4 linked regions of the Macaca mulatta genome follow. The protein of the gene in region 1 purifies or fractionates together with the protein of each later gene. This does not show direct contact. Links are inferred from orthologs where the notes say so. Each region holds a gene or a part of one and is shown on either strand. Other genes may lie near its edges. The genes, in order: OS9, SERPINA1, DERL2 and HSP90B1.

Evidence for each region.
Region 2: the proteins of OS9 (region 1) and SERPINA1 purify together in Homo sapiens (affinity purification with western blotting; 4 studies listed by BioGRID). This does not show direct contact. The link is inferred for Macaca mulatta from reciprocal best matches to the Homo sapiens genes OS9 and SERPINA1.
Region 3: the proteins of OS9 (region 1) and DERL2 purify together in Homo sapiens (affinity purification with western blotting; 3 studies listed by BioGRID, with this or other methods). This does not show direct contact. The link is inferred for Macaca mulatta from reciprocal best matches to the Homo sapiens genes OS9 and DERL2.
Region 4: the proteins of OS9 (region 1) and HSP90B1 purify together in Homo sapiens (affinity purification with mass spectrometry; 6 studies listed by BioGRID and IntAct, with this or other methods). This does not show direct contact. The link is inferred for Macaca mulatta from reciprocal best matches to the Homo sapiens genes OS9 and HSP90B1.

What each region holds. Positions count from the first base shown.
Region 1 is NC_133416.1:64,897,133-64,902,401, reverse strand, and holds the end of OS9 (protein OS-9 precursor), read right to left. Parts: intron 5,153-5,269; coding exon 5,064-5,152; intron 4,871-5,063; coding exon 4,592-4,870; intron 4,024-4,591; coding exon 3,834-4,023; intron 2,921-3,833; coding exon 2,756-2,920; intron 2,614-2,755; coding exon 2,501-2,613; intron 2,221-2,500; coding exon 2,095-2,220; 3' UTR 1,446-2,094; downstream 1-1,445. UniProt on the Homo sapiens protein: Lectin component of the HRD1 complex, which functions in endoplasmic reticulum (ER) quality control and ER-associated degradation (ERAD).
Region 2 is NC_133412.1:167,654,529-167,659,566, forward strand, and holds the end of SERPINA1 (alpha-1-antitrypsin), read right to left. Parts: intron 4,875-5,038; coding exon 4,604-4,874; intron 3,369-4,603; coding exon 3,221-3,368; intron 2,375-3,220; coding exon 2,183-2,374; 3' UTR 2,107-2,182; downstream 1-2,106.
Region 3 is NC_133421.1:6,977,527-6,982,768, reverse strand, and holds the end of DERL2 (derlin-2), read left to right. Parts: intron 1-2,621; coding exon 2,622-2,727; 3' UTR 2,728-3,124; downstream 3,125-5,242.
Region 4 is NC_133416.1:111,147,296-111,153,979, reverse strand, and holds the start of HSP90B1 (endoplasmin precursor), read right to left. Parts: upstream 3,675-6,684; coding exon 3,626-3,674; coding exon of another isoform or gene 3,457-3,625; intron 3,283-3,456; coding exon of another isoform or gene 3,273-3,282; exon of another isoform or gene 3,036-3,272; intron 2,666-3,035; coding exon 2,563-2,665; intron 1,915-2,562; coding exon 1,773-1,914; intron 1,238-1,772; coding exon 1,121-1,237; intron 106-1,120; coding exon 1-105. Other genes in the region: uncharacterized protein LOC144333002, read left to right, coding at 3,273-3,282, 3,457-4,079.

The sequences.
Region 1 (5,269 bases):
AGAAACAGCATTTAGAAAGTTAAGTGACTTGTTCAAGGCCCCGCTGGTGGGAGATGAGGGGTGTGGTCTGGGCACAGCATTCTGACTACTGCTGCCCTCAAGGCAGTGTCTAAGCTCTTGCCCAGCTAGAGCATCCCTCCCTCAGGGGGCACAGATGGACCAGGGGAAGCAGGGTTTTCTAAGTCTGCCAATTTACACTTCAAAACAAAACAACGTAAGCATAGCATGCACAGTAAGCACTAGTCCACATTCAGCAAGAGCTTCCTTCAACAGTTGAATCCTTCACTCTCCATTTACAGACATGTGGGAGTTCCCGGCCCTCTATCCTTTTTTTTTTTTTTTTTGAGACAGTCTCACAGTGTCGCCCAGGTTGGAGTGCAGTGGCGTGATCTCAGCTCACCGCAACCTCCGCCTCCAGGGTTCAAGCGATTCTCCTGCCTCAGCCTCCCGTGTAGCTGGGATTATGGGCACCCGCCACCACACTCAGTTAATTTTTTGTATTTTTATTAGAGACAGGGTTTCACCATGTTGGCCAGGCTGGTCTCGAACACCTGGCCTCAAGTGATCCTCCCGCCTCAGCCTCCCAAAGTACTAGGACTACAGGGGTGAGCCACCGTGCCTGGCTCCTCTATCCCTTTTCTTTCCTGTGAGCCCGGGGGGAGCCTTCAGCAGAAAGGCCGTTCACCTCAGAGCAAAATTAGCAGAGCATGGTGGTGCATGCCTTTAATCCCAGTCACTGGGAGGCTGAGGCAGAACTGCTTGAACCTGGGAGGCAGAGGTTGCAGTGAGCTGAGATCGGGCCACTGCACTCCGGCCTGGGCAACAGAGCGAGACTCTTGTCTCAATAAAAGAAAGAAAAAAAAAATCAAGAGTCCTCCACACTGGGAGGAGGCATGTTGGGGGACCCATGCTTGCACTTGGTAGTGAAGAAGAAAGGGAGACACCAGGCCCACATACCCTTGGCACACTAAGAAACTGGCATGTGTGGGCAGCAGCCCTCTCTCTGGGCATGCCCAAAGGTGGAGGTCTTTTTGGGAAATGTTGAAAGGACAGGTGGGTAGGGGTGTGGGTGACAAATGGAATCTGGAGCATGCTGTGGGCGAGACCGCAGCAGAAGGAAGATCCCTGCTGTGGGGAACTCCATGGTGTGCATTTTGGCTTTCAGGGTATAAAGGGGGAAATGATAGGGAAAGACTTGGTGCAAGAGAAGGGAAGGAACAGAAACAGACAGATGAGAAAAAGAAGATGACGGTACTGCAAGTGTTTCTTTCAATCCTTGCCAGGCCAGGCTTCATTTAGCCACTCTGGTCTCTTCCTGCATACCCCAGCCCCCGTTTATAGTACCTGGGGAGTGGGGAGCAAAGAACAGGATCAGAGCATGATCTGAAAAGAACACTGAGCCTCCTCCCTGCTGGAACCCCCACCCCACAAAAAAGGTTGACAGATTGATGGTCCAGTTCTTTATTTAGAAACCTGATTGTTCAAGAACATGGTGGATGCTTCACAGCTTTTTCACTGGGATTGTGCTGGAGGTGATGGGCAGCATTCTCCCATTTCCTCAGCAACAGAGGTGAAGGCTCCTCAACTCAGAAGCACAAATTGTAGGGGACAGGGTGGGCAGGGAAAGGGAGAAGGACATCTCAAGGCAATTCAAGAGAAGGGGGTAAAGCAACTCCAAACAGCACTAAGGGCAGGTGGAGGCCTGCTTGCTCAGTGCCTGCTAAGTGTCCTGCCCTCCTTGCTCTCTCTACCCACCTCCACTCAGAAGATCCTACCGAATCTCCAGGTAGGGAGCAGGGAATATCCTATCATTAGAGTACAATAACAAGAAAAGCCACAGAGGAAGAGGAAGAGGATTGAGCGAAAGCTCAGGAGAGCAAACATCACAGGCCGGGTGAGCTCTCAAGGTGGCTGCCAGCTGGGGTGGCAGCATTCACCCAGGGCCCCCACACCCACAGAATTGCCCGAGAGGTCCACAGCTCAGCTCCACTCTGCTGTTTGGCCCTCAGGGGTCCCAGGGTGGGGAGGTGGGGAGGAGGCAGGCCAGTCCAGGAAGACTCTGGATTCTATGAAGGGTCAAGTGCAGTGTTGGTCTCAGAAGTCAAATTCGTCCAGGTCCCCTGTGCCCTCCCCACCTTGAGAGCCCCACACCCGGCGGTAATTGCTCTCCAGCTCTTTCTGCCGCTGGCGTTCCTTCTGGGCCTCTTCAGCTCCCGGCACCTGGTGGGAGAGGGTAGAGGTGGGCTGGAGCTACTCGCTGTTGAGCCCAAGGAAGTCCTGGGCCAGGCAGCTGGGGGAAGGCAGGGAATGAGGACACCCATGTCCTGAGAGGCTCTTCCTGCATGGCAGCACTCTGAATCACTGGAACCCTAGCCTTGTCTTACAGATCAGGAAACGGAAGCTCAGCAACGGCATGGCTGGGGCAGGCCCACACCTCCACTCCAGGCGGGCTGGGGACAGGAGGCCTGGGGGCCAGGACTTGGGGGTAGAAGCCTCTCACCAAGATATTGAAGAAGATCTCCTTGAGGTTTCTTGTGTCCTCATCAGTCAACCAACGTGCACCCTCTTCAGTTCCTTCAGCCCATGGGCGGACAATTTTGATCTCAATTTTCCCTGGAAAGGAGCAGTATGCAGTGAGAGGAGAGGATGGCTGGGAGCCTCAGGGCAGGCCCCCTGCCCCACTGGTCCCAGCCCCTCCACTTCCGGCAGCTTGCCCTTCCGACAGTGCTGGGTCCAGCCGCCCTCCAGGGCCCACCTGCAGCTGTGAGTCCCTCCCTCTCCAGCAGCTCCTTCACCAGCCCCTCGATTTGTTTCAGCTGTGGGTTTTCCCGTTTCATCTCGAGGACAGTCAGATCCTGATTAGGGCCTCCGAGACGGAGCTTGGTGACCCGGACCCGGACTCTGTGCTCAGGATCCTCCTCTTAGAGGGGGAGACACACAGGGAAACACAAAGCAGAGGCATGACTCCAGGGTTAGGGGTGGCAGCTTTGGCAGCTATTCCATCTCAACATGTGTATGAGCCAGGGCTCAAAAAAATGTGTGCCCCCACTCCCAATTCAGCCTATAGAGCTCCCTCCACCAATTGCTGCCTTCCGTCTTCCCACCCTACCCAATAATTCTGCCCATCACCTATAGGAAAACAAATGTTTTCTGAAGCCAAAAGCAGGCCACCTGCACCAACAAAGTTTTGTCTGAAGAAGCAGGTTGGAAAAGTGTGGTCTCCTCCTCCATATGTTAGGACTTTAAAGACATTTCAATGTTTATAGGGAGAATGGGATGGAGGGTTTGAAACTGGAACATTTCATTTGGAACATCTGATGTCCACACCCATAGGACCCTATGAAATGGACACAAGGGGATGCAAGAAGAAGACATAATTTAAAGTCTATCCAGGCTATTGGCTCATGTGCGGCTGGGCTCTCCTATTCATGCCCTGACAGCTGGGGACTCTCTTGGTGCAAAGTCCTAAATGTTGACAGGTTGCATCCTTCATAGATGTGTGGTTTTCACATATAGACTCGCAAGCATTCAATTACTACCTACTGATCATCCATTGTGTGCCAGGCAGAGTGCTAGGTACTGGGTGTACAGGAGCAAACCAGAAAACAGGCAGACATGCTCTAAAAGCTGCTTCCCAGAGGGATGAATAGGAGGTAAGCACGCAAAGGGATGATGGTGATGGGAAGCAGGTGCAAGTGAGGACAGTGTTCCAGAAACCGGGGAGAGAATAAGCACCCTCAGAAGGGAAGGAACAGGGTCCCCTCTGGGAATAGGACCAGCTGAGGGATGAAAACAACGGACTGGGCTACTCCTTCTTGTCTGACTGCTCTCACCTGTAGGTTGGGGTGATGGAGGAGGTTTTTTGGGGACAACCCTCTTTTTCTTGTGCTTCTTCACCAGCTCTGGACTCTGTTTTTCCTCCAGTCTTTTGATGAGTTTGTTGAGAGTGGATGTCAGAGCCAGCATTGCCCGATCCCGCTCTGACTCCTTCTTCAGTCCATCTGGGTCCAGCTCCTTCTCGGTCTGGAATACCCAAGAGAAGAGAGTGAGTCAAGGGTCTGGGGCGTGGAGGCAGCCAGCGGGCTGGGCTGTGTAGGAGAGTCTGATATTTTGAAATGGAGTTTTGCTCATCACCCAGGCTGGAGTACAGTGGTGCCATCTCGGCTCACTGCAACCTCCGCCTCCCGGGTTCAAGAGATTCTCTTGCCTCAGCCTTCCAAGGAGCTGGGATTACAGGTGCCCATTGCCATGCCTGGCTAAGTTTTTTGCATTTTTAGTAGAGAGGGTTCACCATGTTGGCCAGGCTGGTCTTGAACTCCTGACCTCAGGTGATCTGCTCGCCTCGGCCTCCCAAAGTGCTGGGATTACAGCGTGAGCCACTGTGCCTGGCCAGAGAGTCTGATATTTAAGTCTTGTGCCTCTCTCTGGTCCCCCTTCCCCAATAGCCCCGATTAATTAGGGAAACAGCTATCATTTCCAAGTGCCCCGTCCTTGCCCTGTGCTGTGCTCTCTGTTTCTTTTAGTCCCTCAGCCTGTCCTGCTTCACGGGACCAGGCGGCTGTGGAATTACAGGAGGAGGAGCTGGGCTTGCCTCCTGGATGATGTTCTCCAGTTCCCGCTCCATGCCAGCCTTCACCTCCGAACGGAGCCGGTCTCGGTCTGACGGAAGCAGGATCCCTTCCAGTTCCTTCTCAAATTCTCCCAGTAACTGCTGTTCATCCTCATCTTCATCCTCATCCTCATCCTCGTCCTCCTCTTCTTCCATTTCTCTCTGCCGTTCTGGATCACCCCTTTCCTTCTCCTCTGGTTCCCTCTGAGGGACTTCTGCAGCATCATCCACAGGCTGCTCTTGGCCTATATTTGGCTTCCCCTGGGTGGGTAGGGAGTGGGGAGAAAGAGGTAGACAGTTGGAGTTTCAACAGAGACACATGGTGGGGGGCAGACAAATAGTAGCAGGTGTGTGGTACTGGGGGACCCAGGAGTTGAGTCCCAGGTCAGCGTAGGTTTTCAAATGCTCGCAGTTGGGAGGTGGGTTCTACCCATTCCCTGAGCATGGCCTATACCTTTTTTGTTCCACCTTTCAGCTCCTCTATGAATCGAATCAAATCTGCAGGGCTTCGAATGACTTTGACCTGCACGTTGTTCTGAAAATCTGAGATGAAAGAGTAATAATCATGAACCAGTTCTGTTGTGTTTAAATTTTTTTTTTTTTTTTTGAGACGGAGTCTTGCACTGTCACCCAAGCTAGAGTGCAGTGGTGCAATCTCTG
Region 2 (5,038 bases), on another chromosome or scaffold:
TGCCCCTGTTCTCCTACCAAATGCCAGTTAAATAAGAGGAGTCCTGTGGGTCGCCCAAGGCCGCGGGCTGTGTCAACATCTGGTGGATGAGCTTCTGCTCACCACCTTCAGCTCAGGGCCTGCTCCACATTGGGTGGAGGGCGTTTTTCTCATGAAGCGTGCTAGGCGTGAGCTGTGGGCCACCAGCAACCCTTATGGTTTAAGGAGGAATTAGCTCTGCAGAAGTTTAGCATGACCCTCGAAGGGGAGAGTGTGGTGAGGTGGTGTGGTTCAGAGGAACGAGTAGCCCATCAAGCCAGCTTTGCCACTTATGAACTATGTGACATTGTGGGAGACCAGCAGCCTCTCTGAGCCTCAGTTTCCTCATATGTAGATTTGGAGTTTAAGAGCACAGCGGATCTACTCACACATCACAGTGCTGCTACAGTTATTAAATGAGAAATAGCCAGGGAGGTTCTTCACAGGGATGTCTGATTCACAGAAAGCTCATAAATGCAAGAAATGTAGCTCTATTTATTCTCTGCTCTAATAGGTGTAAACGGTGTTTTTTTATCTGACTTGAACATCGTACCAGCTCAAAGGCAGGTCTTACTGGCCACGGCTGTGGCTCAGAAAGGTTTGGCGACTTCATGAAAGTCACACAGCTGACAGGGGGATACCGGTCTTCAGACTCTCAGGTCTGGTGTCATCCTAGGAGGCTTGGTGACGGTCATATCTTTAATGTATTTGTGGAGAGTGAAAGGCTGTCACTGAGTAAGCTTAAGAGAACAGGAGACTTGTGTGGGAAACAGTTGGTATCCATTGATTAGGCTGAATCATGTTGAATTGCTAATTTCACCATTTTGAACTACAAAAATCACTATTTGGTTTGACTCAACCTCATCCTTTAAGCACACATTCATGACAGTGAGTGGTTAGACAGGGATTCCAAGATTAGTTTGGGATGGGTCAGTGCCTTCCACAGGACAAGGCAATTCCTGGTAGAGACAGAGGGAGCAGCCTGTCCTTCAGCTGGGGGCTCAGGGGACCTCCTGGCTGCTGTGCCCTTTAGCAGAGCCTTGGAGGATGGAAGGACTCTCCTGGCCCTTACCACAAGGGCTATTCCGGAACAGCCTCCTTCCATGGCACTGGAGCTGCGGCTGCCCTCTGAAGACTGCAGGGACAGCAACAGGCACAAAGAAGTCAGGCTGCATGTGGCCCCAGTCAGGACTCAGGGGAGAAAGAGAGGGGTTGCAGGGGTCAGTGGGTGCTGTGCTTCCTCTCCCATAGCTGGGGAATCCTTGCGATGGCCTTCGTGAGCCATCAGCAGGCCTATGGCCACATGACTAGGGAGGAGAAGGGATATAGGGTAATGGTCTTGTGGGGACTGCTGGGCCTGGTTGAGTCTGAGGAGGAGATAGAGAAAAAGAAGCAGAGACCCTCCTCTTCATCTGAGGAGAAGGGACCTGATTCTAAACTGAGACATGTGAGGCTTTATGGGGCAGCGATGGAAGGACAAGGGCAGAATAGGTGTCCTTGTCGCCCCATGGAGAATGGGCTTCAGGAGGAATCTGCTTCAGTTGTTTTCCAGAAGTGCCCAAGAGGCGCCGGGCCCAAGCCTGGTTAGGTGACAGTGGGACAAGAAGAGGACACGGTCCTCTCTCTTTTGTTGTTGCAGATGCCACAAAACAGGGCTAGGGCATGGTCAGGCAGTTCTCGGGCTCCCAGGAGGGCAGCCTTGGGGTGGGCACAGGCAGCCCTGGCAGGATGAGGAACTCTGGGTGGCGGGGAGTGGGGGATGAGCAGGGGGACATGAAGATGCTTGGAGGAGCCTGGGGTCATGGGCTGGTATCTGATTCCTCCCCTGTGATTCCTTATTAGGGACTCCAAGACAGGACAAGGAAGACTGGAGCTCTCCAGAAACAGATGGGCCCAGGTCCGTAAGCTGAGGATTCAGCCCCCTCCATCCTGGGCCAGCATATGCCTGCCCAGCCAGATGCTCCATGAACACAGTTGAGGGGGTCCGGAGAGAGCACTGTGACCTGGAGCCCACACACGGCCTCAGCAGGCAAAGGAAGACCCAGAGACAACATGGGAGGGGTTTGCAGTCACACACGCAGGCAGGGACCAGCTCAACCCTTCTTTAATGTCATTCAGGGAGGGGGCCAGGGATGGAGGGGAGGGGCTGAGGAGTGACAGGCAGTTATTTCTGGGTGGGATTCACCACTTTTCCCATGAAGAGGGGAGACTTGGTATTTTGTTCAATCATTAAGAAGACAAAGGGTTTGTTGAACTTGACCTCGGGGGGAATAGACATGGGTATGGCCTCTAAAAACATGGCCCCAGCAGCTTCAGTCCCTTTCTCATCGATGGTCAGCACAGCCTTATGCACGGCCTGGAAGGGAGAGAAGCAGAGACATGTTCTAAGGCTGAGTTGTGCCCCAGCCCAGGCCTGGAGCAAGGCTCACGTGGACACCTCCCAGGAAGCGTTCACTCAGGCCTTTCTCCCGCTGCACAGCCCTGGCCCTGCACATCCTCTCCCTCCCTGTCACACAGACCTTGCTCCTCCTCAAGGCTTTGGCTGACAGGGCTGGCTCCCCTCTGTCTATCTTCCTGACAAGCGCCTATGCCCCTGCTCAGGGTGCACCCACAACTCAGAAGGGGAAAGAGCATCGCCACTCCACGCCTGTCTCCAGGGCTCTCTCCTTTCTAGCACACAGCTTGAAGCTCCTCGAGGACATGGACCCTGACAGTGACCTTCACAGTGCCCAGATCCCAAGACAACGCAGCCGTTCACGGAACTGCAGTTGTTCTTTGGTCACCTTTAGTTTTCCAAAGTAAGAGTCATCTTTAGCTGACATCATTCATTCATTCAGACACCAAATCTCACAGATCGAAGGAGTCACAAAGTCCTTTGAAACAACTTAGCCCAAACCTTTCTGTGTCAATATGGATAAATCAAGGCCCAATGTCTAGAAGGTCCTGGGCAAAGATGAAATTCGGGGTCGGTGACACAACCTCAAGGGAGGCCCTGAAAGTGCCAGCAGCACAGCAGGCCCCTGCCTGGCTTTGCCGTCTGACCACGTCCCGCGTCAGTGAATCACGGGCATCCTCAGGAGCTCAGCCTCGGTCTTCATTTGTTTCCCTTGGCCCCTTCCTCAGCCTCAGGACAGAACTGCAGCCCCCATACATCCTTCCCTACAGATCCCGGGGTGCAACAGGGTCATCAGGGTGATCTCACCTTGGAGAGCTTCAGGGGTGCCTCCTCCGTGATCCCCGAGAGGTCAGCCCCATTGCTGAAGACCTTAGTGATACCCAGGTGGCCCAGGACTGTCTTCAGATCATAGGTTCCAGTAATGGCCAGTCTGGGTAAATGTAAGTTGGCAGACCTGCCGTGCAGAAAAGAAATTCAGGGCATGGCACAGCATTCCTCTTGTTCTTCTGGGACCCACCGCAGTGCAAGTGTTTTCTTTTCTGATTATTTCTGCCACTTACTCCTGTGTCCTCCACCCACTCTAACATGGGAACTTGGCTTTGGTTTGTTCTACTATTAGCTCTTCTACACTGAGTCAAAGAATGTTAACATCAAATGAATCATGAAAGCTTGAAATGCCACCTCCTCTGAGATTCTAGGTGTACTGGAAGCATGTCTCATCCTGCCCTGTAGTGTTTGGTCACTGGGCCCCCAGCCTGAAACATCCCCAGGGTCCTATACCCAGAGGAACATGGGCTGGTAGCAGTGCCCCCAGAAGACTGACCACACCAGGCTGAGTGCTCCCCTCTTGTTTTCCATGGGGAGACAGAGCCGCCCCGAGCAGGGTCTGGTGTGAGCGGGCAGCCTGGCTTTGGGCTCTCTGATCAGTTACCCTCTCAGCCTCCTTGTTCTTTCTCAACCCCTGGAGCAGGGACCTCAGGAGGTGCTGGCGTGAAACAAAGAAATTCCAGCCTCAATTCCTATTATGAACCCAACACCTTTTGTATTTTCATCTTGGTTTTACAGTGTACAAAATAAACTAGATAGGAGGGCATGGGCATAATTACGAATGCACACAGACACACTAATGTGTGACTCATATTGGAGTATCATTTACTACAGGGCACCCAATCTAACAGCACCGATAAAGTGACAGAGAAACTCAAGCCTTTTGCTAACATGCCCTGGCTATTCCAATTTTGAACCTTGCTTTTCTGGGCCTAGCCACACAGGCTCTTCCCCCATCCCCACAGGGACAGTCTACCCTTGAACTCCACACTCCACTACTGCCTTTGCCAGGAAGCCCATCTGTTCCCTTTTGGTTCTGCCAGAACGTGTGGTGGTGCTGCTGTCCCTGTCCTGGGCACTGGATATTGGGAAGGGACAGTGTCCACGCTGGAGTGGGAAGTCCCCAAGGACGAGACCTTTACCTCGTCACCCCTGGGTACTGTCCTGCTCATGGAGCATGGCCGGTGCCACCTGAACTCAGTGGTGGCCTCATTCTGGAAGCCAAGTTTATGCAGAGTAGCAGTGACCCAGGGATGTAGTGTTCACCCTCTCCAACCCTCTGGTCAGTTCTGACGGGCCTCAGTCCCAACGTGGCTAAGAGGTGTGGGCAGCTTCTTGGTCACCCTCAGGTTGGGGAATCACCTGCTGTTTTCATTTTCCAGGAACTTGGTGATGATATCATGGGTGAGTTCATTTTCCAGGTGCTGCAGTTTCCCCTCATCAGGCAGGAAGAAGATGGCGGTGGCATTGCCCAGGTATTTCATCAGCAGCACCCAGCTGGACAGCTTCTCACAGTGGTAGATGTTAAACATGCCTAAACGCCTCATCATGGGCACCTTCACGGTGGTCGCCTGGTCCACGTGGAAGTCCTCTTCCTTGGTGGCCTCAACGTCAAAGGGTCTCTCCCATTTGCCTGGACAGAGAGGGTAAGGCGGGCATCAGTAGGGGTGGGTGAAGGTTTGGAAGAGTGTGGCAGAATAAAGGAGCCATCAGTCCCCTCCCTGAGAAGCCCTGAACCCCCTTGACGACACACATCCCTCAAGCCTCAGCTTCATCATCTGCAAAAGGTGCTGAAAC
Region 3 (5,242 bases), on another chromosome or scaffold:
AATCTTGAGTATGTCAACTGAGTTTCTATAAATGCACACTTCTGTGTATCTATCAAGACAGAAAATTACCATCAATCAGAACGTTCCCTGATATCCTTCCTTGTCAGTCATTGCACCTGTCCCCCAAGAAGCAATTGCTATTCTGATTTTGTTCCTCTATAGATTAGTTTTTCATGTTGTGCAGCTTCATGAGTAGAATCGTACAGTATGCATGTACTCTTTGGTAAAAGGCTTCTCTCATTCAACATAATGTTTTTGAGACTCATCTGTGTTCTTGTATTTATTGGTAATTTGTTCCTTTTTATTGCTGAGTATTATTTGGTTGTGTGAATGTACCACTGCTTTCCATCTGCCCTTTCCATCTGTCCTAACCTGATTCTTATTATGATTAATGTTTTACCTACCTAATTACCCCTCATATGTAACCAGTCTTTTGTGATAGTCTCCACCTCCCCCATATGGATGCCTTGCTCGTCTCACTCACCCTCAGATTCCCCAGACCAGGCTGCCCTCTTACGGGGATGCCTCCCCACCCTACTCAGGCTAACATCTCGTCGGGCCACCTCCATGTGTGCATGGTCTGATGGGGCTCTTGACTCCCTATACCAGGCTGTGCCCCCACCCCCATCCTGCTAATGTTTGGGCAGTAGAAGGGGTCTCAGTTTTGTTTTTGTTGTCATTGCTAAGGATTCTCACTCTGTTGCCCAGGCTTGAGTTCAGAGGCTCAGTCTCGGCTCACTGCAACCTTCGCCTCCCAGGTTCAAGTGATTCTCCTGCATCAGCCTCCTGAGTAGCTGGGATTACAGGCATGCACTACGACACCCGGCTAATTTTGTATTTTTAGTAGAGATGGGGTTTCGCCATGTTGGTCAGGCTGGTCTTGAACTCCTGACCTCAGGTGATCGGCCTCCCAAAGTGCTGGGATTACAGGCATGAGCCACCACGCCTGGCCGGGATCTCAGTTTCTAATGTACTTTCCTTTGATTATTGTGAGAGCAAACATTCTCACGTTTATTGACCACATGGATTTCCTTTTTGAATTGCCTATTCAGCCCTTTGCCCATTTTTTTCTGTTGGTTTGTTTTTATTGTTAATTCATAAGAATTTTAAAAACTCATTTTGAAGTATAGTTTTTCTGACTCCAGTATAAATTAGAAGTTTTCAAATACATTTCTAATTTTATCAACTGTGGGGGATTACAAGTAGAAGTATAAGTGCAAATTGAGGATGCTGCTTTAATGGTTCCTTCTTTAGTGAGGTTTTGAATTACTACATCCTAGTACTTAGAGAGTCTTTTGGACATTTACTATCCCCTCCTATGTTCTGCAGTAATTTTTCTTGGGATACCTTGTGAATTTTTTAAAACTTTTGTAGTAAAATAATACCTAACATAAAATTCACCATCTTAACTCATTTTAAATGTTCAGTGGCATTAAGTATATTCATACTATTTTGCTGCCATCACCACCATCCATAGAACTCTCTTCATCCTGCAGAACTGCAACTCTGTACTCATTAAACAACTCGCCACCCCAGCCACCACCATTCTGTTTTGTTTCTCTGAATTTGACTACTCTATGTACCTCATAAGTGGAATCATACAATATTTGTCCTTTTTTGTCTGGCTTATTTCATATTTCATTTAGTGTAAAGTCCTCAAGGTTCATCCATGTTGTACCATGTGTCTGAATTTCCTTCCTTTTTTTTTGAGACAGTCTTGCTCTGTTGCCAGGCTGGAGTGCAATGGAGCAATCTCAGCTCACTGTAACCTGTTCCTCCCAGGTTCAAGCGATTCTCCTGCCTCACCGTGCCAGGCTAATTTTTGTATTTTTGGTGGAGACAGGGTTTTACCATGTTGACCAGGTACAGTAGCTCATGCCTGTAATCCCAGCATTTTGGGACGCCGAGGTGGGCAGATCACCTGAGTTCAGGAGTTCGAGACCAGTCTGGCCAACACGATGAAACCTCGTCCCTCCTAAAAATACAAAAATTAGTTGGGCATGGTGGCGGGTGTCTGTAATCCCAGCTACTCGGGAGATTGAGGCAGGAGAATTGCTTGAACCCAGGAGGTAGAGGTTGCAGTGAGCCGAGATCGCACCACGGCACTCCAGCCTGGGCAACAGAGCGAGACCCCATCTCAAAAAAAAAAAAAAATTCTGTAATATGTATGTACCATATTTTGTTCATTCACCTGTTGATGGACACTTGGGTGATACCTTGGTTATGGGGAGACATTAATGATAAATATGTGAAAGTCAGCTTACAAAAGTAGTGTGATCTAACTTTTGTAAAATTACATAATGTAAAAGTTCCCAAAGAATAACTGAAACATTGACAATAGTTACCTCTGGGAATTTAGGATATTTTGCTAATCTCTTGTTTTCTCCTTCTCTATAATTATTATGATTTGGGTTGCTTTTCTAGTAAAAATCAGTGAAAGATAAAAGCTAATGTAAATGTTAATAATTATAGATGCTCTTACAATATGTTGACTGTTTAATTGGCAGGCGGGTGTAGTGCTTACCTATGGGTGGAAACCCTGTGGGACCTGAACTGACCTTGTAGTACTTTGGACCTGAGATGACTCTGGGACCAAATTATATCTGTTGCCTGTCTTTTAGGAAAGCTATTTTTGATACACCAGATGAGGATCCAAATTACAATCCACTACCTGAAGAACGGCCAGGAGGCTTCGCCTGGGGTGAGGGCCAGCGCCTTGGAGGTTAAAGCAGCAGTGCCAATAATGAGACCCAGCTGGGAAGGACTCAGTGATACCCACTGGGATTCTTTTATCCTTTGTTGCAAAAGTGTGGACACTTTTGACAGCTTGGCAGATTTTAACTCCAGAAGCACTTTATGAAATGGTACACTGACTAATCCAGAAGACATTTCCAACAGTTTGCCAGTGGTTCCTCACTATGCTGGTACTGAAAGTGTAATTTCTCGGAGCCAAAAAACTGGAGAAACAAATATCCTGCCACCTCCAACAAGTACATGAGTACTTGATTTTTATGGTATAAGGCAGGGCCTTTTCTTCCTCTTGATAGATGAGGCCATGGTGTAAATGGAAGTTTCAGAGAGGACACAATAAAACTGAATTCCATTTTTCTCTCACTGTATTAAAGCTTTTGTGTGTGATCTTTTAAATTCTGATAATGTATTGTAGCTCTCCTGCGTAGATCTGAGCTCAGAACAGTTTACACAGCTGTTCTTCTGTGTCTTCACAACTTTTAACTGGATTTCATTTCAGGATTGGAAATACGTGGCTGTCATGCTGTGGTTGTGTACATCTTACTAATTCAGAATGCAAGATTCACCAGGAAGATGATTTATTTCTGTCATCTGGATAGGTTGTTTCCATCTGGGTTTTGCAAAACTGTCAGACAACGTGGAAAAAAAGGAGGGAGGATGCTTCTTGTAGCAGTAGGAATTCAGCTATAGGAAAGTCAGCTGTAAGCTAATGTGGCATCTTATTTGCTTTGCTTACATTTCTCCATTAAGAAGTATCCAGGGAAAGATTGCTAAGGGCCACATTTTTGGAAAACTAGGAAGATTTTCATTAGACTTTTTTTTTTTCTTTTCTTTTTAAAAAAGTTTTAATTAAAAAAAATTTTTTTTTTAATAGAGATGGGGTCTCACTGTGTTGCCCAGGCTGGTCTTGAACTCCTGGACTCAAGAAATCCTCCCACCTCAGCCTCCCAAAGTGCTAGGATTACAGGCATGAGCCACCCAGCCTTTTAAAAAAATTTTTTTTGCCTTTTTTTTTTTTTTAATTAAAAAAAAATAGAGACAGGGTCTCAGATTTTCATTCGATTTAGAAAACAAGTTAGAATGTTGACTTTGGAGCCAGATGAACCGATACCAGTTAGCCAGGCACATGTTCTTCCAGGGTCTTTGGCTAGGTAACATTAGTGATTTGCTTCATGAAAATTCAAGAACCTTTTCAGAACCAAGTACCTAGATTACCTTCCCAATCAGGTAGAACTTAAGACAGGGTCCGCAGAAGTAGACACTTAATGCTGTGGTTCAATAAATACCTCCCCTAAGTATTAAGTCTTCCCTGAGTCTCAGCAGGTTTGCATTCACACTGCTTAAGTAACTCACAGAACCTGGAAGAGCACCGCTAGGAAAGAGATGATTCCAAACAGCTTTCATTAACAGTGTGTATGCACCAGTCCCTTTCCCAAAAGTGGACTGTTAGTAGTAGTTCAACCTTTGTTAAGGGGTAGCTTTCCAGAATGTGAGATTGTCCTCAGAAAGACAGATATAGGCTTAAACATAACGGACATCCTAAATAGGAATTTTCAGATTGTTTTTGAAGTGAAAAGTGTTTTAATGTCTTTAAATGGAATTGCGTAACTAATGGAATTTAAGTATTTTACATGTTGCTAGTAACTTTGAATATGATTGTTGCAATTTTATGGAACCTGGGTCTATGGGACTGCTTTTTCTTTAAGCAGTTTAAAAAAGGTTTTTAAAGTTTAAAAGCCAGTCTTAGCATGTATAATCCTTACGGGATTCTTAAGTTTTATCCTCTTGTTTTTGCTCAAGAATGCTTTATCAGTGACGTTTGTTTTGTTTTTTGTTTTTTTAAATTGTTTTTGGGCTAGAAATGAGTTTCTCTAGTTTTATTTGTTCTCCCTGAGTTGAGTTATGCAATGAATGGCATTTTTGTGGTAAAATGCTGATCCTAAAATCTATTCACTCACTGTTCATTTAAGTAGGGAATATCTGTATACGTTAATGACTGGGTAAAACAGGAAGTACGTTTTGAATATACAGCCTAAAGGCAGGCAGTTACAGGGTTTTTTGGTTTCTCTGATTTTATAGGGTGCAAGTTCCCAGTGGTAGGATGCCCTGCTGTGCGACTACACTGTGTCCTGAGCAGTGTCACCTCTCATCAGTTTGGCCAGCCCTACAACCACCATGCCTAGCCCTGTGTTGCTTGAGAGGATACCTGTGCTGGAATGGACATAAGGAAAAGTCCTTACTTTCCCCCCAATTTACCTCTCTCAATCTTAGTTCTTCCAGAACACACTTCCCTTTCCCAATGCAAATAAACTAAAAGTGAGATTTGATACATAGAATTTTGTGACCAACTAACCTTACACATAATTTGAGGGATTCCTGGATTCTTCCAGTAATACTGAAAAGCACACTTGACTAAAGCATAGTGTTTTTTGTTTGTTTGTTATGGAAACATGGTATACGTTCATTTAAAAATAAATGGACATACAAATTG
Region 4 (6,684 bases), about 46 Mb from region 1:
GCTTGTTCCAGATTTGGCTATGGTACCAAGGTTCTTAACCAACTCTTCTCTGGTCATTCCTACACCGGTGTCTGTGACATGCAGCAGGTTCTTCTCCTTATCACACTAAAAGCAAGACAAGAACCAGATAGTTGTATTTAATATTTACATTACGCCAAGCAAATATTGAGGAACTAACCAGCTTTGGGTCCCATCAATTCCAATACAGAAAACTAAACTGAGATATTTTCCTCTACATAGTTTTTTGTGGCCTTTTCTGAAAGTGTACATCTTAAAGTAATCTATGTATTTGAGAAAGTATTAATATCAAATGGGCAGACTGGTCTAAATGTCAAGGGTTAGAGGCTGACCTAAATAAAACAAGTTACCTTTGAAGAAAAACAATTCAAGAAAAATAAAATTTTATGTCTTGCCTATTTCTTTAATAGAAAACAAAACAACTTGAATGATTCTTCTATTTGGAATCTGTGATGGATCATTAATATTCTTCACTCAATATTCCTGGCTGTCTGCCTTCCAGAAACCTAGGAGGATTCTACTTTCTCCATTTAAGAATGGCTAAGGCCATGTGACTAGTTCTGGCCAATGAGTTATAAATGGCCAATGAGTCGTAAATGAGAGCTCTGCTTTCAGGCTGAGCCTTTAATTATAGTAGTATGAGACCCTCTAAGCTTGCTCTGCACCATGGCAACCGTCTACACACTACAGATGGCTGCCCACGCCTCTGTCCCAGCATGGGGATGAAGCAGAGCAAAGACCACAGGCAGACTGTGATCAATGATTTAAGCCAAGGGCTAGCAAACTTTTTCTGTAAAGGGCCACATAGTAAATATTTTAGGCTGTGGGAGACTCATGTTCTCTGTTAAAACAACTTGACTCTGCTGTTGAAACACAGAAGCAGTCACAGATAATAAACAAATGGGCATGGCTGCATTCCAATAAAACTACTTATAAAAACAAGTAAAGTCAGATTTAGCCATAGTTTGCTGACTTTCAAGCCACTGAGGCTTGGGGGTTTTTTGTCATTGCAATATAATCTAGCCTATCTTGACCGATAGGGATCTTCTACCTCTAAGGATTCCTTTTCCTTTAAAAGAAAGAAAAACTGCCTTACACTTACCTTAATTTTAACTGTTAGTTCCTCATTTCCAGAAAGAGCATTTTCATCAGTCAGTGATATTAGCCGTATCTTATCTAAAGCGTCGGAAGCATTTGAAATCAGTTCTCTCAGGAAAATCTAAATGGAAGCCAGAGGTAATACACTTAAGACTATCCTCAAGATACATTAAGATATTCATTTTATGCCAAACCCATTTTATTTCTTCTCTGTACCTTATAAAAGCACTCTTTAAGGAATTAAGACTTCTTATGGTATAGGAGTGGCTTTATTCTTTTGATTAAAAAAAGGCATAGCTCCTTACACAAAGAACTGTGGCAACTATAAGGGATACATTAGCTGGTAAGGGTAGTAACACTACCCATCTGACAGTGATCTTGAGGTATACAATGCAAGAAGTTTAATTTACGAGACTGCCCTTAGAATCACAACTATTATCAGGCCATGAACCTATTTAGAGGTAAAGGAAAAAGAAAATGTCTGATGCTCCCTTTCTTCCCAGATATCTAGTAACAATTCTTGGACATATTAAGTATTTAAAGGTTGTTAGCTACTTACTCGGTTAGTACATTACTTTTGCAGTAAATCAAGCAAATTTAAGTAAACAAGTATGCCACCATATAGAGACAAAATATTCTAACCACATGTTGCTTACCTCTTTATTTTTATACAATGAATTGATGATAAGTTTCATCATTCTGTTAACTTCAGCTTGAAAGGCAAACTTTTCCGACTTCTCTCTAAGTTCTCTTATTTGCGATGCATTTAATCCATCCAACTGAATAGCTTCTTCCTCTCTAAGGAAATCAGTTAGATAAGCAAATATTGCATGGCTTAGTTCCCTTCAAAACTAGAGGAATTATGATGCGAGCACAGTGGCCTCTAAATATTGTCTTGGGGGTTAAAATGGAAACCCTTATAAAGTATTACTGATATACCATCTCATTATGTTAGCACAGCAGTAGGCTACCTTTAACATTGCACTGGAAATACCTGGTTCTTAAAATTGCCAGAAAAAAAACCCCCAAGTCTCCTCTACTAAAAAGCAAAGTCATACTCATTTATGCTCCACGGTGAGGACTTCAAAACTGTCAATAAATCCCAAGAGGCCAAATTTTAAAATATTGTTCAACTGACAGAAATCCCATTTTTAAACTACTCGGCGTACACAGTTAATGAATACAAATCCAACTGAAACTCTTTTCTAAAGTCTTACAAAGTTCGTGGTGCTAGTATTCTGCAATATAGTTTTCAAAGGAATTCACTCAGTTTTAATCACTCCCAGGGACAAGTTAGGAGGTATGTATGCACACAACTCACCAGGTATTTAAATACAGGGTGTTAGACTTTATCTGGACCTTTGGAGAAGAGATACATAAGAAGTGACCCTAACTCACAAGGTTCACAGGGCTTATCTGTATAGGTAAGTTCAAATGAACACAAACCTCTGTACTACTTCATCATCCGTCCTTGAGCCTTCTCTACTTTTACCCAGATCCTCTTCTACTGTACCATCCACATCAACTTCGTCGTCAGCTCTGACCGACCCTGAAGATTTAACACGGGAAAACTCTTCAACATCGCACTTCTCCAAGGAGGATGATCAAATAGGGAAGGGTAGGGGTTGCAAAATTCAGCTGGTAAATAAGGGTGGAGGGGATGAAAGAGTGTATTCCCTGGTTTAAATACCCAAGGTAAAGCCAAGACAGCACATCTATTTAAGTTCTGATGTTGAGGTCCCCAGTAGATTCTGAAATACTGAGGTAGTCACCACTTCTAAACAGTGTGTCTCCGATCATTTATAAATAACGTTAAGCAGACTGACACCAGGTCTCTTCTACAACCACACGTGTTGCGCGCAGGCCGAGCCAAGGCCTCCCAACTGACCAAACCAAAACTTCGGCCTTCGTTATCACAGGTCAGAATGCAAATAGGATTTATGCAATCTCTGGCGAGAGGAACTGAAATTGAGCCCAGAGGCATGAGAAGGGGGCGAAATGTTAAGAACCGAGCTCCAGCAAAACCGAATCAAACACGCTGACACTGCCATTCCGCTGGCCCCAGGCCTCACGCTCCCAAGCCAGCATCTTCTTAAGAAAGGACACGCGCTTGCGAGGAGTCGGAGTCTGGGGAATTACCGGACGGGAAAGCTGGGATGGCCGAAGGTAGCGGTGGCCGAAAAAGTCCTCCGGGCGGGGAGGGGGGAGGGACTCCTCACAACTCCCGGGGGAGCCAGAGCCCCAGAGAGGCCCCACCCCGAGGTCGCTGAGACCTCCGGGCGAGATATTATTAGATCTGTAGGGGAGTTAGATGATTCTGCTCTCTTTTATTATTTCCAGAGGAAGAAGAGAATAAACGTAATCCCCTGGCCCTCTTTCGAGGAAAGGTGACGTCCCTTGGCCCACCGCAGGCCTCGGGATCCCCCCTCCCAGGTTCAACGCCCCCAGAACCTTCGAGAAGCGGCCGCGTGTGTAGAGGGGGGACGTCTGCTCCTCTAGGATCACTCACCGAAGGTCAGCAGGACGCAGCAGAGGCCCAGCACCCACAGGGCCCTCATGGCGTGCGGCCGGTGAGTCTCAAGTCCCTCTCGATCGCAGGAGCCGCCTCCACCCCCACCCCTAAGCTCGGATCCTCACACCTCCAGCCGCGCGGTCCGCCCACTACACCCCAAGCAGGTCGGGCCGCTTTTCACCCCCACTTCTCGAGGGCGGGGGACGGGAAACATGAACCCACCAATCGCGCCGCACCACGCACCCACGGCACCCAATGGGGATTCGTGGGGGGGACGGAAGTCCACCAATCGGAGCTGTCCAGGTGCGGTGACCGATGCCCGAAGCGTGGCTCCTTCCGATTGGTCAGGGTTTGCAGCTTTTCTCCAATCAAATGGCTCCGCGGGCCCCTCACACGTGGGACCGCCCCTTTGCCTGGGCGGCTGTGGCCTCTAAGGGCAACCGTCCAATGAATGTAAGCACAGAACACATCCATCTTTTTCGAGAGGTCGCGGCGGAACTACTTCCGGATCCTAGAGAGCGTTTATTCTGTGACCAGTGGAAACGGTAGCCATGGCAACGTGTTCTTCACCCTTTCCCATCTATATCTGGGGTTACGTTGGGAGTGATTCCAGCACGACTTTCGCGGCCAGAGTTCTCGTGTGGCGGCGCTTCTCGGAAAGGAGAAACACACGAGAGTGGTTGAAAATCCCCTAGAACCCTTCCAGATGGAGGTGGTGAGAAACTACAGCTCCCGACATGCAATGTCCTATGGGGTACACTGCATTGAATGCTGGGAATCGTAGTCTTTGGTCTCTGAGGACCAGCTGCGTAGTTTGGCCCTTACTTTCACGTTCCCCCAGCGTGTGTTTGCCGGAGCCCTGTCCTGCGTCTTAGATGTTACATCTCGTTCTGATTACAGTAGAGATATGTGCCTATTCCAGGAGTCTCCATTGTACACAGCTTTTAGAAGCGGGCCTAGAAAGCCTTGACGCCTCGGGCAAGGCCGCCTTGTTCTGGGGGGTCGGTCTGAGTCTGGGGGCTCCGCCTCCGGCTCGAGAGCACGCGTTTCCGAATCCGCCTACAAGTGTGTCACTTGGGCAGCCCGGGCCTTCACCTCGTCTGTGCGCAGCCGGAATCCCCAGGCCTTCCTGATCTGGTTTACAGAAGATGGTTGGGACCTCCCCGACCTGACGGTCTTAGAACCCCTTCTGTGAATCAGGTGGAGAGCGTGGTGGAAAATGTGGGTCTAGCACAGAAAAGGAAAACCCTTAGTTTAACGAATGCAGGAGGATGCACCTGCAGATATTTGAAAGCAAAACCTGTGGTGCTGCACATGAGAACGGGATTTGCAGCTTTGTAACTTCATAGAAATACCCTGTCCGTGTTCAGAAGGACGTATAAAACACCAGGTGTCTTTCCTGTGAGGGAAGTCCCTCATGCTAAACTTGTACCTTTGGAAATATTTTCTACGTCCCTTTAACCTACTCTATACATTACCCACACGCATATCCGCGCCCATCTCTGACATACACATCCCCCTTCCTTATTGCTTCCTCCAATAAAATTGAACTTTGAATATCTTTTCAGATAATCATCCGAATTCCTGAAGACAAGCTTTTTAGTGACAGTCTGTCATAGTCTTTTACAACTTCCCATATTTAGGTGTGCGGATCTTGGCTCTGTGGTTGGCGCTCACGTATTGTGGTGGTGCCTTATTTACATCTGCCCAATTTACCTACATTTGTTATTAGTAAGCAAAGAGTAGCTTACAAAGAATGCTTTATGCATGCTTCTGTGCTTTCATCTTTTTTAAAAAGAGCATACTAGAGGGTGAATTACATTCAGAGATTTCAGTTGCGTTTTTGTGTATTTTAACTCCTTTATTTTCTGTTTTTAGAGAAAAATGAGTTCACTTTTTTCCCCTCGCATTTCACAGCTCACCTTTTCCTCCAATTCTGAATAAGTAAGCAACCAGTTCTGAAACTGCAAATGCCACCTTAACTAGTGAGTGGTGGGGAGTTGGTGCTGCACCTGGAGGGAACTGAGACTGAGACATATCCTTCAAAATAGAGCCACTGCGTGTGGGTAGACGTTTCTGCAGATGATGGTGGGAATTCATGAGGCAGGCAGAGCACCAGACGGTAGGCTGGCAGAAGATGGCGGGCCCTTGTCTGATCAGCTCTGTTCATTAAAGATTGGCTCTCCGGCCTGGGCGCGGTGCCTCACGCCTGTAATCCCAGCACTTTGGGAGGCCGAGGTGGGCGGATCACCTGAGGTCAGGAGTTCAAGACCAGCCTGGCCAATATGGCGAAACCCCGTCTCTACTAAAAACACAAAAATTAGCCAAGTGTGGTGGCTGGTGCCTGTAATCGCAGCTACTCGGGAGGCTGAGGCTGGAGAATCGCTTGAATCCAGGAGGCGGAGGTTGCAGTGAGCCCAGATCCTGCCACTGCACTCCAGCCTGGGCAACAAGAGCAAAAACTCCGTCTCAAAAAAAAAGATTGGCTGTCCGGCTGAGTACCTTGTAAAGAGAATATGCTGCTTACCAGCTTTGTTGTTTCTGGCTGTGGTCTCTTCACCTCTTCTGACTTTTGACCCATTACTGATCCCTAGTGCCCATCTTGGCCTAGCTCCTCCAGAACTAACACTCCGGATGGTTATTAAGTTTCTTGCCCTTGTATTGGATTCCCTTGCTTCCTAATTTTAGCTTTTCTCTATGTATTGCTGGAAACAGCTACTGTTCTTGTTGTTGTTAAGCTTCTCCTTGAGCAAAGCTAACCCCACGAGATAGCACCCCACTTTGTAGTTAAACTTGGAAGAAAAAACCAATAGGTAAAGAATGCAGTTAAGGACAGTGGATAGCTCTCCTAGTAGGCAGGACTACTCCAGCAGTGGGGAGTCAGGGGGAAGGCAGACTGGGGAGACCAAGGCAAGAAAGCAGTTGGCATCAGGGAACATTAAGGAATAGAGCCAAGATCCAAGGTCAATTGGTTGGTTGGTTGATTGGTTTATTCATTCATTAACTCATTATTTCAGCAAATGTTGAAGGCCTGGTGTGTGCCAGGAATTATGCTA